2 linked regions of the Drosophila melanogaster genome follow. The protein of the gene in region 2 interacts with the protein of the main gene of each other region in a pairwise test. Each region holds a gene or a part of one and is shown on either strand. Other genes may lie near its edges.

Region 1 (4,824 bases), on a different chromosome or scaffold from region 2:
CGGCATGGGGCGGTTTAAAAACCCCAGGGATCCACGAAGGGGCGCCCTTGAAAGCTGTACGAGCACCTGGCACTGTGCCCTTGGAACAGTTAGTCTTGTAGCTAAAGTTTGTAAGTGTTAACTCCATCTGATCACCCTGCGCCCTGTGGAACCGCTCCTGCCCTTGGACCTGCTTATAGCCATAAGGGAAAATGCGCCACTAGGGCAATATCAATTGACCAACTAGATGGCGAACATGGCAGTCGAGGAATTAGAGAGCAAAATTGTCCAACTGTTCGTAGAGAACCCCCTCCTGCGCTACGGTAGAGCTCCAGCAGTGACTTAATGCTATTTACTAATAAGGTATTATATTTCATCATATGTAGGTGCTGTTGGTCTGTGCGCCATCTACCTGATCTTTGGCTGGGGCGCCCAACTACTGTGCAACATCATTGGGGTTCTGTACCCTGCATATATTTCCATCCATGCCATCGAGTCCAGCACAAAGCAGGACGACACCAAGTGGCTGATCTACTGGGTCACGTTTGGAATCTTCACCGTGATTGAATTCTTTTCGAGTCTGCTAACTTCGGTGATTCCCTTTTACTGGCTGCTGAAGGTGAGCTTTGCATTCTTCACATATAAGAATCTTCTTTTAAATGCTTCAACTCCACATGTAGTGTGCTTTCCTCATCTGGTGCATGCTGCCCACGGAACAGAATGGTTCTACCATCATCTACAACAAGCTGGTGCGACCCTACTTCCTGAAACATCACGAATGTGAGTAAATTCACCTCTTAGATATTGCAATTTTACTAAAAGGAGATCAATATTTGCACACAGCCGTTGACAGGATCATCGATGATGGCATGAAGAAAGCCGCTGGAGTGCTGAAGCATGACTAGAAGGCGAATGTACCGTAGCTCCGACCGCTTCTCGCTTATCCATGCATTTGGTTTTGGGCCTGGTCACCAACCTCACCTCGTATTGGTTACGTTTTGCAATAAATTTTAATTCTGTATTCATTTTGTTGTTGATAAGAGCACCAGTGTTCGCTGAACCAGAAGAAATCTCCGTTTGTTAAACGTAAAAACGAAAAGGAGGCTTTTATTGAGGCACAACTATATTTATGCGGTTGATTCCGCCTTTTCTGGCGACGCCTCCGCTTCAGCAGCTGTCCTCCGGTTCCGCCAGGCGGTCATGTAGGTGCGCGGGTGGATGGGCAGTAGTCCGGCAATTCCCAGGAGTTCTGCAGCCGGCGTGGACAAGTGTGCACCTTTGCCCAGCCAATAGCGAATTCTCTCCGTGTTCAGGGCCACCAGTCGTTCGTTGTAATCGTTGGGCAGGGGATCAAAGGAGCCCACCTGCTCGATGACAGGCTGGTGCTGGTTCTTGCGCCTCTAAACCGGAAAATACAATTACCAATTAAAAGTTTTAACCATTTTAATGGCCTAAAAGTACGCACCTCCATGACGACAATGTGATAAAAAGGCCGATTGGTGCATCCCAGGCGTACGAAACGTATGATTTTTGCCGACTTGGCGTAGAAACGACCAATGCCACTGGCTGGCGATAGAGACATCCCGATATTTTATATATCTAATACAAGTTTTGGCATAAAATAAGGATTCTTCAATCAGAAAATGTGAATTGTTATGCAAAGCATGACCGTTGAGGGAAAATTTAACAATACCAAGCGATTGGGTCACACTATTAGTTAGCCCTAACAGCGTTGCCACCTCCGACCGCCCATGTTAGACAGTTGCGGCACCTCGACAACCCTGGCCTGCGCACACACAAGATGGCGTCAGAGAACGAGAAGCACGAACACTAAGGAATTTGTTCAGTGGTGTCTGTGTCTGTGAATTATATTGAAGGAAAAAGAGTGTTTTGTTTATAAATTTAATTGCAAAAACTGCACATCGTCACACGGGGCGCGTGCACACACATCGGCGCACACGCACACCCACGCCAAGGCGACACCTAAACGCAAAACGGAGAGTGTGTGTTATCAATGGAGTGTGTGTTCCCCAACGCCAAGTGAATTTTTTTCGTTGAGACCGAGGGACGGAAAAAAATGGCGCCCGCAGCCAGAGCAACTTGACTTTCTTTTCGGTCCTATATAGTTAGTAGTTGCTTGCCCCCGTCTCGTCGTCGGCGAGCGAATTCGGTGATTTTATTTCGATTTCGTCGCAGTGCGATATCCCCAACGAAGAAAACATAACGAATAATTGATGAAAAAGTGCTTGAGAGAGACCCCCCCAAACGTATTCGAATTTGTTGTGTACATTTTGGCTTCGAACACAGCCGCAAAAATACCATTACCAATTTCCACTTACTACTACTAGAGAGGAGGATAGTATTTTGTACGTGCTTTAGAATACATACATACATACCTACATATACCACAAGCAAGCGAGAAGTGCAATTACATTTGCGTTTGGAAATTTTGCGCTTTTTTCTCTTCCGTCCTCCCATCCAAAAAAAAAAACCCCCCGCTCCCCCTCTCTCTCTATCTTTCTCAACCCGCATTGTGCTAAATAATGTGTGCCGCCCAGAATCCGCCGCCCTTCGGCTATACCTGGGGTTTTGCGGACAACGGCAACCGCGCCGCCGAATCGGTACTGGAGATATCGCCCAACATCAACTATACAGTCAGCGGGGAGTCGGTGAGTCCAAAGTTATAGCTCTATTAAACTGATAAACCCGTTGAAAGCTGCCAGTCTGAGGATATTTCCCCCCTGTTGCCGACATTGCTCCAGGTGCGTGCGTGTGTGGGTGTTGGTGCTGCTGTTGCTGTTGCTTTCCCACACCGAATTGTGTTGTGGCCCACCAATGCATACACACAAACGCACACACGCACTGCGTTACACTCGCTCACGGACTCGCTCGTCTCACCAACACTCGCTGCTTTCGGCAACGAACTGTGTATGTATACGGCCCGAATGGCATTCACGTATACGGTATACGTGGAAAACGAGCGACAGCAACTGCGATATACATACTTACGTACATGTACAACGTATATATGCATACGCCACACGCTTTATGTAACTGCGTTGTCATGCGAATATACGAATATGTACGAATGAACGTACGTATGTATGTTTTTATGGGGGGGATGGAGCGAGTGTATTAGAATTCTTTTAGCATACATCCATACGGATTTTTTTCGTTTCCATTTCATTCGTAAACATTCATAATTTGGTATTTGTAAAACGAATGCGTACACAATTGGCTCTGTGTGCGGAGAAATTCCCAAAATACAACACGCGCACCTGGCGAGCAAGTAAATAAATAAATAGCAATAAATTCCCCCCACAGGCAAATCGGAGCAGTTAATTAGCGGGAAGGTCGTGAAATTTTCAAAAGTCTGGCAGCTGGTACAGGCAATCGATGCTAATCGATATTTTTCTAGGCTATTCATGCATATATCGCTAACCTAATTTAAGTTCTATTAATAATTATTGCTTATCCATAGGTTTTTTTGTTGTTTGTTTCTTTTTTTTTGAGAGCAATATTTTTTGTTGTGCAATTGACAGGAGAAATTGTGTTTGTTGTTTTTTAGTTTATATTTGCGGGCACTTATACAATGGCAAACGCGGCGAATTCGCCGCACTTGCGCGCCCGATATCTCCGCATGTGTGCGTCAGTGCCGAATTCGCCGCGCTTGCTGCCCTCTGTATGTGTGTGTATGTATGTATGCACGCACACTCGACCAGAAATGACGTGTGCTCCCCAGTGTGCGTTTGGTGTCGTGCGTGTGTTTTGATTACTTTTGCCGCACCATTTTGGCGCCCATCACACACACTCCCATGCCACGATGTCCAATTGCACTCACACACATACAGAGTGAAAAAGGCGCGCTTTTTGCGAACATCCCCTCCCGCTCTTAGCGCCCAACTTCCCCCCTCGTTCGTCGTCTATCATCTGTTGCCGCACTGCTGGCTGCGCAGGTGTAGCGTGGTTATTGGCGGTTATTATCAATCAGAGCGAAAACAAAAGACAAGCACTTGGCCAATAGAAGCATCAACCGCCAACAACTCCAAATCACAGCCTGCAGATCTTAGCGAGTGGCGACTGTACTTGCTGCCAAGTTTTAATTTCCCAAAAAAAAAAAGGTTCATGAAGGTCAATTCATTCATAAGTTTGAGCTGAACAATAAAACTGCTACAAGTTTACTTCCTCTCATTTGTTTAAATCGTTTTTGGGACATTAAAATTGTAGAAATGACTAGGGGCAATGTACATAGATTAAAAATTATTTATTATTCTTTTATATAAAAGAGCCTTTGTTGTTTGATATGTAACATTTCTTGAATGAAAGATAGATTTATAAAAAAAATGTGTAAGCCAGGCTTTCCTAAAATCGCAATTCCCAGGACCACGTGTAAACTAAACATGCAACTCCTACAACATAAGCATTATTAAGTTTATTTAGAAATTAGGACAAACCTTTAATTTATCCCCATTAGCCATGAGTACTAAAAGTCTTTGTTCCAGATGCCCTATCTACTATCGACGGATGGATCATTGGCAGTTCAAAAGGATGTCAAAGGCCTTACAGCTGGCGGCAAAAATAATGTCGTTCGTCGTATGTTCGTCGTAAACGATCCTTCATTTCCGCCTGGAACACAAAGGTGCGTTGGCGCTCCAGCAGCCCAAAGAGATCCCCAATGTACATATACCTAATTCTCAATCCCTTGCAGAGTTATCACTGCCGGCGGAGCATCGACGGTGGTCAAGAAGCAGGACAACAATCAGCAGGTCCTGAGCCTCGACAAGAACTGTAAGTGGATCGATTCTAAACGAATCAAAAACCCATCGAATCGATTCAGTGTTGCAC
Region 2 (4,376 bases):
GTTACACTACAACCCTATATTTCACTTATAAAACATAAATTAGAGAGATATTCACTATGAAGTCTATGATGTTATATGTATGTACATATGTAACTCCCACTCACCGCAGACATCCAGCCATCCTTCGATTCTGCTGGGGTAGGAAATCGTTGAGGACCGGCTTAAATACGTTCGACGTCCCATTTTGTGGGGGTGGTAATTTTGTGGATTTGGTTTGGGTGGATGCTGTGTTCTCACTCTCTCGGCTTTTCTCTCGCGCGCTCTCTGTCGAGCGCTCTTCTCCCCTTTTTGGCTCTCGCACTTATCGTTTAGCTTATCGACTCGGCTCGTTGAGTTGTTGTTGTTGGTGCTGCTGCTTAATTTGAATATTGATTTTGTTTGTTCTTGCTGTTGTTGTTGTTGTTATGGTTTTTATTGCACTTGTGCCTTATGGCGATTTTGGGGGTTATTGTAAAACAAAAGATTAAAGCAAGATTTGTGGCAATTTCAAGAGCAGGTTGCCGCCGCCTTTGTTGTAGTTATTGTTATTATTTGATTTTTAACGATTTCGTTTCCAATTCCACTCTTTGTTTTAATCACCATATTTCCTCTCTCGCTACACCTGATTTTCGATGTTTTTGGCGTTTTTCGCTGTTTTTTCGCCGTAACAGCTGAGTGGCATTTTTGCGGCTCCTCTTTTCGTTTATATTTTCGGTTTCTTCTTTAGTTATTCATGTTTTTTGTTGTTGTTAACACCAGAAACCAGTAAAGAAACTTTATTTTGCACCTTACATACGCGTGTGTGTGTGCGTGCGCGTATATTTAATTCTGGTGTTTTGTATTATTTTTAAATCACGAACTCCGCCAAGCATGTGTATATTTCGGTTTTTTTATGTTTGTGTGCGTGTGTGCCCGATCCAGAATATTAACGGAGTTGTTGTTGCTGTCGCTTTGTGTTTTTTGGATGTGACACCCTCCCACACCGCACGCGAAAAAATAAAACAAAAAATTTTAAAAAACCCGCGGTCTGGATTTTCACACACGTCCGCTTTCGAATCGCCGCGCTTGTGTGCGATTCCACTGGTGTTTCTCCACAGACTGCCGCCTCTCTGCACTCCTCTTCTTTATCGCATCTCTGCTTTGGCACGGCTTTCGCGCCAATTGTTGGTGTGAAAATAATACCAACGAAATGCGGTACTTCTGTGTCGGTTGCTGTCTGGGTAACACGCACCTGTATGGGTTCGCGTCTTGGCTAAGTGTCATATATTTAATTTAAAGCTTAACGGTACAAAACGACCGGTATTAACATGGAAAATAGTGTTGCTAACTTTTATATATTAAAAACGGATATTTGTTGGCCTTGTATTAGGTACTCCATCCAATTTCGTTGCCAACATTATGGAACTGGATTCTATTTCTTATAATTCGTAGTTAATTGGAATTTATAAGGAGCAATTTGAATGCCAACGACTAAATATTTAGTACTGCACGCCGGTCCACTATTCAGTGTGACCAGTCGCACAGCGCCCTAGAACAGCAGGCGTGTGTTTTGTTTTTCAGTTACTTCAGACGGAAGTTTATAAGCTATTACTTAGTAGAGTTTGAGTGCTCTACAAGGCAGTAACAAGAACATTGCGCTTAGCATCTATTTTGCGATTAATTCCAGTCAAAAGAGACGCCACGGTCACTCTATCGCCTAGGACCAAACACAACACCAACACTGTTGCATTCCATTTACAGTTTAAACGGTGTTTTGTGCGCGTCGCTTTAATTTTGGTTTAATTGAATTTTACTATTGCTGCGATGGACACGCCACGCCGCAAGCTAAGAAATTTGCACCTGGAGAATGTCCAGAACAGCAGCACTCCCATCAACGTGCCGCCATCGCCGATGATGAAGACCCTGGGCCACGGCACTGGGATCCGGGTCTACCGCTTGGACCGCTCGCCTCGTCTCGGCGAAATCCGCTCGCCCTGGGCCGTCAAGCGGATCACGCAGAACATGCGGGTCAAGAAGGATACACTCTTCAACGAGCGAATTGTTCACGAGGCCGATATCCTGCGGTAGGCTCATCCAAATCCAGAAGCCCAATCAAATTGGCAGTATGTGTCGGTGTCCTGCGTGTGGGTGCATGTGTTTGTGCGTGTGCGGATGCTGAATGTGCGTGTGTGCTAGGGTGATCCGATATGTGGGTCAGCAATTCATTAGGGTGGCCCACAGCTGAGCAGCTGCAGTCCATGCTCGCTAAAATACCCCATTGTAATCTAGGCTCACTTCGAATTGAATAGATCATCCTTAAATTCCAGCTTAAAATGTTATTTTGCATATATCCCATCTTTTAAACAAAAGAATCTTTATTAGATTACAAAAATTATAGCATTACCAAACAAAATATTCCAAGTAAGATCCTAAGTCATCGCACTTCAGCCGGGAAACTCAATACTAGTAAATAAAGCTATTATTAGATGTACATAGTTTTTGCTTCCAATGCATCGAGTTACCTACAGGTGACTGCGTAAAATGTGCATTTTTTATACACACTACGCAGGATTGCTGTAATAATTGCCCCCTATAAACAGCACCTTTTGACTTTACAGCAAACTGAAGCATCCAAACATCGTGGGATTCCGTGGCGTTATCACCAATGACGAGGGCATCAACACACTGGCACTTGAAATGTGCACCACTTCACTGGGCTCCATACTCGAGGAGCGACACGACGAGGATCTGGGCCCGTTGCCGGCCAAACATACCTATAAGATGATCATGGACGTGGCCCAGGCACTAGACTTTCTTCACAACGAAGCTCACCTCATGCACGGCGACCTTAAGTCCTTTAATGTCCTGGTCAAAGGCGAGTTTGAGATTTGTAAGCTGTGCGATTTTGGAGTCTCTCTTCCGCTGGACGAGCAGGGCGAGGTTAATTTCCTAAAGAATCCCGGACTGCGCTATGTGGGTGAGTTTACTGACCCCATATGATATAAATAATTTCACATTCAGTCAAATTAACCACTTATGTCTTAATATTTTAGGAACTAACCTCTGGTGCGCACCGGAGGTCATAGACGAAGTGGATGTTATTGACAGCAAGGCAGACATATTCAGCTTTGGCCTGGTTATCTACGAAACCCTTGCTTTGGTGCCTCCACATACCTTGGAGCTTGATGCAGCACTGGGAGAGGATATGGACAGTTCGCACGATTTACCCACCGACACGGACAAGCTGCAGTGCAAACAGTTGGACTTCTCCAGCGATGAAAACAAGAACGGACTACCTTCTGCAATGGAAGAACACACAGACAACGATATGAGTCAAGATTATGACGAGGAGGATGATGAGGAGGAGAAGGAAGAGGAGGAGGAAGACGATGAAGAAGATGATGACACGAAGGAGAACGATATCTCTTACTTTACACTGAATAACCTTCATTCCGCCTATGGTACACGACCACCATTGCCAGTGGCCTTTCAACTTAGCGACGATTACAACTGCGTCGTGGAGCTGTTTTATCTGTGCACAAATGCTCTCAGCGAGGATCGTCCAGCGGCCAAGACCATTTGGCAGTGCCTGGAGAACAATGGCGCAAATGTTGCGACAGAAAGCGATTAGACTGATAATCATTCTCAGCCTCCGAACTCCACAATCTTCCTCTTGAATATAATTTGATTAGATGACTCATTTTTGTTTTGAATGTACAATTAATTAGCTATAATTTTTACCCTGTAAGAACAAACCAATTACGGTTAAAGCCCCAAAACGCGAATGCACACTTAAGCAAATTGTACATATTCAGCAAGCAAAAGAGTGGTCGAATAAATCGAATCCCCAAATGGAACAAAAACTATATCGTTAACTGGTTTTTTAATTCGCAGTCTTCAAAAGGGTATATGTAAGATCTTTTTTGATTAAGGCCCGGCTAATGTATTTAAATTGATTTTTGTAAGCTAAAAATAAGTGAAAGCAATTCAGTTGAATTGAAAAGTATTGCTTACAGAGGGAAACAATTTTTTCGTTTATAAATGCAGGAACCGAATATCATTTTTAACTTTTTTGTATACTTTAACGCCTCGAATTGGTTGTGATATAAACAATAAACTTACATTGTTTTGCTATAGCCTCCCAGGAAAAAACCAATTACACACCAGATCGGTTACAAGTTCTCTTAGGTTTATTAAAAAATAATAATACATACATCAAAATATAAGGTTTTCTTTCGTGATTTGCTTTTCGGTCTTTTCAGTTGCTTAGCGGGAATACACATTAGCTTTTGTATATATATATATATACATGCGTTTGCTTGGAAATCGGGATATTCTGGCGACTTTTGTTCGATGTAAGTTCAGATTTCTCGATAATGCAAGGGTATATGTGAAATGGGTATATGAGGGGAGTGGTT

Evidence for each region. Proteins that work in one complex are often made in the same cells at the same time.
Region 1: the proteins of CG8173 (region 2) and cg interact in a two-hybrid assay, tested with the Drosophila melanogaster proteins (2 studies listed by BioGRID).

The regions. Positions count from the first base shown.
Region 1 is NT_033778.4:14,171,925-14,176,748, forward strand, and holds the start of cg (combgap), read left to right. Parts: upstream 1-1,768; 5' UTR 1,769-2,522; coding exon 2,523-2,648; intron 2,649-4,481; coding exon 4,482-4,618; intron 4,619-4,687; coding exon 4,688-4,767; intron 4,768-4,824. Other genes in the region: ReepB (receptor expression enhancing protein B), read left to right, coding at 366-598, 660-759, 823-884; mRpS16 (mitochondrial ribosomal protein S16), read right to left, coding at 1,107-1,379, 1,445-1,561.
Region 2 is NC_004354.4:17,706,848-17,711,223, reverse strand, and holds CG8173 (uncharacterized protein), read left to right. Parts: upstream 1-1,570; 5' UTR 1,571-1,782; coding exon 1,783-2,042; intron 2,043-2,576; coding exon 2,577-2,935; intron 2,936-3,011; coding exon 3,012-3,589; 3' UTR 3,590-3,823; downstream 3,824-4,376.